2 linked regions of the Struthio camelus genome follow. Each later gene encodes a partner of the first gene's protein in a complex. Links are inferred from orthologs where the notes say so. Each region holds a gene or a part of one and is shown on either strand. Other genes may lie near its edges.

Evidence for each region. Proteins that work in one complex are often made in the same cells at the same time.
Region 2: POLR1E (region 1) and POLR1F share a complex: the UniProt entries of both Homo sapiens proteins name them as parts of the RNA polymerase I (Pol I) complex. The link is inferred for Struthio camelus from reciprocal best matches to the Homo sapiens genes POLR1E and POLR1F.

The regions. Positions count from the first base shown.
Region 1 is NC_090982.1:2,273,931-2,277,676, reverse strand, and holds the start of POLR1E (DNA-directed RNA polymerase I subunit RPA49), read right to left. Parts: upstream 2,740-3,746; 5' UTR 2,681-2,739; coding exon 2,620-2,680; intron 2,465-2,619; coding exon 2,361-2,464; intron 312-2,360; coding exon 235-311; intron 1-234. Other genes in the region: ZBTB5 (zinc finger and BTB domain-containing protein 5), read left to right, coding at 3,601-3,617. UniProt on the Homo sapiens protein: Component of RNA polymerase I (Pol I), a DNA-dependent RNA polymerase which synthesizes ribosomal RNA precursors using the four ribonucleoside triphosphates as substrates.
Region 2 is NC_090943.1:35,514,472-35,518,217, forward strand, and holds the start of POLR1F (DNA-directed RNA polymerase I subunit RPA43), read right to left. Parts: upstream 2,238-3,746; 5' UTR 2,016-2,237; coding exon 1,798-2,015; intron 1,644-1,797; coding exon 1,502-1,643; intron 536-1,501; coding exon 327-535; intron 1-326. UniProt on the Homo sapiens protein: Component of RNA polymerase I (Pol I), a DNA-dependent RNA polymerase which synthesizes ribosomal RNA precursors using the four ribonucleoside triphosphates as substrates.

The sequences.
Region 1 (3,746 bases):
AGGATAAAACAACTGGAGCAGATCTGTGGAGCAGAGCACTTGGGACTATGGATCCAACATGCATAATACACGTTTCAGGTTTCTGTAGTTAGTAGAAGCAGAAACAGACACTAAAAGGAGAGAAAAAAAAGCAGCACCTTTGGGTATGCCCAAAGGCAAGACAAGATGGGTACGCCAACACAAGGCAAGATTCCGCCACCAGGTCCCTGCCACAGGTTTGCCCGCAGCCCATACCTGCATAGGGAATTACATTTCATAACTCCACTGCCAAAGTTATTCCCCACATATGAAAGCCTTTCAGTTTCCGAGACCTGAAAAACACAGGAAAAATTACCTTAACGGGCGGCCATCTGTCTGCGACTAACCTCTATATCCATTTTATTTTCCCAAGTACCACAAAGCTCTGCATTCCCAGGCATCAGATGCTAGTCATGTGTAGATAAAGTGCATTTTGTCTTCTTTGGGAGCATTTTGCATCAGGTCAAAGTCTTTAAAAGAAAGACACTTCTGAAGCTGCAAGTACTTGTTCTTTCTTGGCCTACTTGTTCTATCAAGCAGCCAGAAGACAAAGAATCATTAAAAGGAAATCATGAGACTCATACTTTAAATTAATAGTTCATGGCGGTAACAAACCCACACGTCACAACAATTAAAATACTTGGCTGGGTTGACAACCATGCTTCAATCCAGAAGCAATGGCCAAAAGTTTCCGTGTAACTGTGAATGAGCCATTTAAAGATTTAATGTTGCCAGGTGACCGTAACTGACTGATAAAGAGCAAGCACTATGAGGTAGCACCTAAATACATTTTAAACGCCTGTGCCTCTACTGTATGAAATCCTTCTCCTGAGGATTTGGGCTGAAAACCACCACATATTCCTTGAGTGAGCCATGCATGTAAACAGCTGTAAAACGTCACAAGAGCAGTCAAAAGCACCTTCTGACCTGGAACTCTGCTTTCTCTTCAATGAAAGAAAGAAAAAATTCCTTAAAATGTAATCTAATCAAAAAAAGACTTTGGCAAAGAATTTGGATTCATTGTGTAAACACAACGAAACCAGGAAACAATGTGCAGACTTTGTACTTGCATGGACCTGGTTATCTTTTAAGTAGCAGCTTTTAATTTTCACGCATTACTTCTTTTATTAGCTGGGTTACTAGAGTAAATCAAGCACATGCAACATCAGTATATCAGCATGAGCTTCAGAATACACCACTGTGTATCAATCAAAACTATTTAATTAAGCAGGTATTCAGTTTTGACTGAAAGGTTACTAACTCTCATTTGTCACTATCAGTATAATATACTATACTGTGTGTTTCAGGTTCCTTTCCATTCCAAAAGTCACAGCCCAATAATGCTATGTTTGAAAGAGCACGAGGCTTGTTTCATTCACTTGTCTCATCCTGAAATGCTCAAAAGAGGACAGTTAATGCTTTGAGACCTTGGCAGCATACCAATATTTGGTACTACCTCCCTGCAGTACTGTTGACATCTTGTGGCTTGTTAGAGAAACTATAAACTGCGTTTGCTGGGAACTTCACTCACCAGAACTTCACAGTAAGAAAACAAGTATCTATCCCCTTCTCACCCTCAAGCAGAGCTATCTTGCACATTAAACTTTGCTCTACCCTACCTCCACCACCATCACTCCTCTCTCTACTACAATGGGAGCCAATATCAGAACTAGAACTGCCCAGAAATCCCTAAAATATATCAGGACATAGAGATTTTTTGGAAAAATTGGAAGGAAGGGCTCAAAATCTGATCACTTTTAAAAGAGTCTACAAAATAAAGTCCTTACTGATTTTCAGAGGCTCATTCACTGTATTTGTATTTGCAAAAGCAAATAGGAAACCAAGAAATGCTTTGAAGAGAGGGAGAGAGGTGCCTTAAATATTAGACAACACTTTTTATCTTACCAGGGTTTCTAGTTCTTATTTGTGGAAGCTGTCAGCACCAGAGCCTTGAGGAAAATGGTGTAAAAAATATACCCAAACCTCAAAATATGCAGAGATGGGATTACTTATGCTTCCTAGGCCAGGTGTCAGGTGGAATCTCACCCTGATCCCTAACAGCTGAACAGGAGCTTGGATGCAGAAGGAGGCAGTTTGGGGACTCTTCTGATACACAACTCATTGCTGCTAACATGTAAGTTATTATATAGAAGCTAAAATGTATTAAGTGGGTAATTTTTAGAACTATAGTTGTTACAACAGTAAGTTTAAAAACGTACATATACAGAAACACGTATGTTTCCAAATTTTCCCGGCGACTCCTCTGGGCAAAACCGCCAAAGCTTACAAAGGCCAGGCGCTAGTTAAAAAAGGGTGACCCGGGATGCGGCCGCAGCACTTACCAGGATCCTCCGGTGCCTCTTCCGGGGGTTGGCGCTGTCTCTATCCCGGTACACGGTGAAGCGCATGTCGTCGGCCTCCCGCAGCCTCCCGTTGGAGAACTGGACTGCGGGGCGGACCGGGGGACTGGCGTGAGGCACGGGGCCACCAACAGCCGCCCGCCTAGGGCCGCTCCCCACCCTGCCGCGGAAGAAGCCTCGCGCCGGGCCGGGCCGGGCCCCCTTTCCCCCCCCACCCCCACTTGCTCCAGGCCCACCTCACCTAGCAGCGCGGGCTGCTCAGCCTCGGGATCCCCACGGTATCGCCAGGTGGCGGCGGCCATGGCGCGGCGGCGGCAGCGGCAGCGTGCTGCGGCGGGGGCGGGGCGGGGGGGCTCCGCCTCCGGCCAGGGCGGGCGGGACCGCGCGGGAGGAACCGCCCGCCCGGCCGAGCGGGCCGCCCCCTGCGAGCCGTTCCCCCGCTCAGCATCACCCCCTTAGCCCCGCCGCGGGCCAACCCACTGCTCGGGGCCTACGGCCGGGCCGGGCCGGCGGCTGCACACGCCGGCTGGGCCGGGAAGGGGCGCGGGCCGCTCCCGCCGAGGGCTCGGCGGAAGCAGAAGCGGCCCAATCAGGGGCCAGTTTATTTGCAAGTCTCGGGGGACCTGATTATTTGTCAGTAACGAGGTCGCTGATTGGCTAGAAGGAGGCTGTCGGCCCTGTGGTTGGCTGGCCGGCTCGTCTCCTTGTGGGTGCGAGCGTGCTCCTCTGCATGCCCCGCCCTTTCCCTGCTGAGTGGGCTGCAGCCCTATGGCGTCACTTCCGGCTGGCGGCGCGGCCGCTAGAGAGTAGGGGCTTGTGGGGGGAGGAGGCAGGGTAAGCAGGGCCGCGGACAACGAGCGTTCCCGGCCCCTCCCGCTCTCCGCCGACCCCCCTCCCCCCCCGCTCCGGCCCTTCCCGCCCGGCGACGAAGAGCGACGGGTGGGGAGGGGAACACAGGTGAGCGCGAGGGGGCCGGCCGGCCGGCCGGGGGCAGCGGGCGCGCGTGGCGGGGCGGCGGCGGCGGGTGACGTGTGCGCTACATTAGCGCGGGGGGCGGTGTCCACTGCGCATGCCCGGCCCTGGGCGCCGGCGGAGGGGAGGGGAGGGGAGGGGGCTGCGCCGCGCCGGGCGCCCGGCCCCTCCCGGGGGGGCGCAGCCGCTCCCGCTTTGTCCCCTCTCGCTCCGTTGCGACGGGGCCTAGCGGCTCGGGGGCGCCGGGAAGATGCTGGCGTCTCGGAGGTTTGTCTTCAGGGCTTGGTTTGTGCGTGGGGGGCGAAGAGGGAGAAGCCATCGCGCTTCTCTGTGTCCGTGGTCGTGTTCCAAAGGCTGCCGCTGCTTCACAGCCCCCGCGCGGCTCTCAGAGCGTGG
Region 2 (3,746 bases), on another chromosome or scaffold:
TTATTTGAAAAGCTTAGGCATATTCAAAAACAAAGCTATGTTAGACAGTAGAGAGGCTATTTTGAACATGTACAAATTATGCAATCAATAGTTCACACGTGAGTACACTTAAGATTTTTAAAGCTCAAAATATTTATTTTTGAGAAAAAATTTCTCAGCAAGCCCTCAACACAAAAATATTTAAAATAACACAGGCTATATATAGACATGGGTTTGTGTAAAAACAAGAAAACTTAGAGATTAAGAGGTTAATTCAAATCATTTAGTTTGCAACAAATTCATTAAATCAAATAGTTAAGAAAAATATCCCTAGTATGGTACAATACCTGGTTTTAGTCAGTCCTCCCCGAATGAAGAACACTCCAGCTGCATCAGAATCTAAATGCATTACTTGAAATTTCAATTCATCCCCTAGTTTCAACCCCAGCTCTTGCCACTGGGCAACCGACATTTGTTCGGGTTTAGGGATAGAAGCATTGAAGCATCCATGTATCAGACAGCCGATATGACTAGGGGCTACTTTATTAATTACACCCTAAAAAAAACCCAAAAAACAGTCATATGAAGATATATTAAGGATCACCTCTTTAAAAGAGACACATGATGTACATTTAGTTTCCTGTACAGACACTCTTGCACAATACTCTTTGTGCACAAGTTACTTGTTAGATAAACTGACCTCATACATTAACTGATTTTCATGTAGAAAAGCTACTTACGCCCAAAGCTATTTTCATACAGCTCTACTCAAATTAAAGACTGAAACTGTATCTGCAAAAAGAAATGTGTTCAGAAAAAGAAAGTGAGAAGCTACATAGAACAGTTAACTCTCCTCACACTGCAGTGACCAATGTTGATTTAAAGCCATTTTAAGCCTGATTTACATCTCTAAGATGACTTTCACCTCTGCAGTACCTGTGACACAAAAAACCTGTAAGTGCTCTATTCAGTGCATTTGTGACACATTTGCATATTTAACTTTATCTATCTTCTCCTTTTCCTAGAGATGAATGAACTACACAGAGGGTTCTTCCATTCTCTTCCCCTGAAGGGAATACCTTTTACATCTCAATTACATTTATAGAGGAATACAAGCCATACTTCCAAAAGTATGGCACAACAACAAAAGTCAACCCTCAACTTATTACTCCCACAAGTACTGGCATAAGGGTGTTAACAAGCTTAAAGCTCTTCCATGAGTCATATATCACTTTTTATTGAAATGCAGGCTTACATTTGATGTACTGCACTTGCACTTAAAGAAACTCTTCAATGTGTTCTAAACACTCCTGTCACTATTAAAGGAGAACAAACTAAACCGGTTTTAAGAGTTATATCTGCTGCTTAGAAAGGAGCACTGACATTTAATAAGTTTAGGAACATGCAGCACAGACTATGAAAACATCCACTATAGAACTACCTAAGACTCCCCAATCTCTTCGTGATGATTTTGATTACTTAAGAGAAAATGACCCCACGAGATGGCAACATATTTACATACCACCAGTTTTTTCCCTTTCTTGGGACTGAAGATGATGAAGTCCGCCTCAATGTTCAGATGGATGAATCCCTGGTCGTCGTAAATGTCCCCGAGCTCACCCACTACTTTGATGTTGTCATAAGCCACCGGCACTCCTTGAAGGCTGGAAGCAAAAGGGGAGAAGCAGTTAGTATGAGGCTGGCTAGGAGGTGACAGCCGCCAGCGCGGGGAGAGCGCCGGCAGAGCGGGGCGGGAGCTCGCCCTTGCCCCGGAGGGCCCCGGTGGGCTGAGGCCTGGGCTGAGCCCCCCGCCCGCACCTCTCCGAGTAGCGCAGGAGCTCGGCGTCCAGCTGGGCGCGGATGCCCGTGCGCTTGCGGCCCAGGAAGCGCGGCGCCAGGGCGATGTGCCGGCGGTGCGGCGTCACCACGAGGCAGGAGTAGCGGCGCCCCACCAGGCCGCGGGCCACGGCGAAGGAGGGGATCGCCGCGCAGGGCAGCGGGCGGGCGGGCGCCGGCCGCTCCCCCGCCACCTCCATCTTGTCGGTGCTGCCAGGAACGGGGCCGCGCGGGCGGGAGCGACGCCTGTCCCGGCGGCGCGGCGCGGCGCGATGACGCCCCCCGCTCTCCCCTCCCCTCCATGGGCGGGAAGAGGAAGTGACGGAAGCCCTCGGAGAGCGACGCGCTTCCGAGCAGCGAGCAGAAAAGTCGACACCCCGGACCTCCCGCCGCTCCCTCAGCCGGAAGCTTTGTCCTCCAGGTCCGGCAGGGGCGGGGCCGGGCGCCAACGTCACAGCTCTGTGGGTGGGGCCCCCCGGGAGCCCGCTGCGCGCGCACCTGTCTCGGTTTCCAAGGAGACGGGGGGGGGGTCTGTCTGCGGCGGCCGTTGGCGGCGGCCGTGGCGGCAGGCGGGGCCCGGGCGGAGACGCGAGGCGCGGGAGGGGACAGACTCCGCCGCGGGCCCCCTTCCGTCGCTCCTCCTCTGGCGGGAGAGGGAGGCAGGGAAGGGCTCAGTTTTCGATACCTAAAGGAAGTGGAGTCAGAAGAGAAAACGTGAAAAGCCCCAGAGGGTGCTGGGTGGTGTGGGTGGATGGAAAAGAACACGTGCAAGCGTGTCCTACTTCCATTTGTCGAATTCTGTCCCAGAATCAACTCTGATTGCCTCTAATCATTAACTGTAAGGTTAGAAATAATTAACCGGTAAAAAATATATATATTTGCATTTGACAAGCATGTTTAAGCTGTTTTATCGCACCTCGATATCTTTTAAGACCGAGGTGATGACAGCAAGTCTTGGAAATGGAGGTGTGAGCTTCTGTCTTTGGGGACACAAACCTACATTTTCTGCTTCATGCAGGAGTGATGCTGTCCTGAAGGTGTGTAGGTTTTTTTGTTTGTTTATTTGTTATGGACAAATAAGGCGGTGACTATTCTCTGCTGGTTAACATACCCGGTTTGGGAGGAAGTAATCCTAGTTTTGATTTTCACTCTGCAGGTTATTTTTTAATTTTTTACATGACACTTGGATTGGTTTGTTATCATTCTGGATAGTTCAGCATCAGCCGTGACATCAAAAAGGTTGATACAAATTTTGTCATTCTCAACAGCATGTCAGTACAAATGCAGAAATTTCAACTACCTTTAAAAGAAAACTTCTTTGTAATATCAGTCACTGAAATCTGCATCCAGAAGGAGACTTCTGTGCCAGCAGTAGTCTTTGAATGGAACTTAAATCCTAAAAGCTCCTGTTCGTTTGCCACTATTCTTGGAGTCGTCTAATTGTGATAAACATCTCGATTTTCAGTATTGAAATTCTCTGTACGTATGTATCTGTGTGCTAAGAGGAAGCAGGGAGCAGCAGTACGTCATCTGCGTTCCTGCCTCAAGGTTTGGGGTTTCAGTAAAAACATCAGGCACCAGGCAGATAAGGAAACAGCTTTGAGGTACATGAATTCTTTATCAGTATGAAAGTAAGCTGGATATGTAGTACTACCTAGTATTACAGTCTGCTAAATTCTTTTTGATCAGTTGCTCCTTTCTTTGTCTCTAATCTCTCCCACGTTTGTGCACTCCAGAAGAAAACAACATGATAATCTATGGAAGCTGCTAGGAACAGTGGTTTATATCCATAAGCTATATGTATACCCTTAGCTTCCCTATTTTAATCTTCCTTTGATTGTGTCTTAGTGATCAGAGTAATTTAATTTCTCTTTTCAGCTGAAGGATTTTGCATGTAATGACCCTTCTCACACATACAGTTGCCCAGTGAT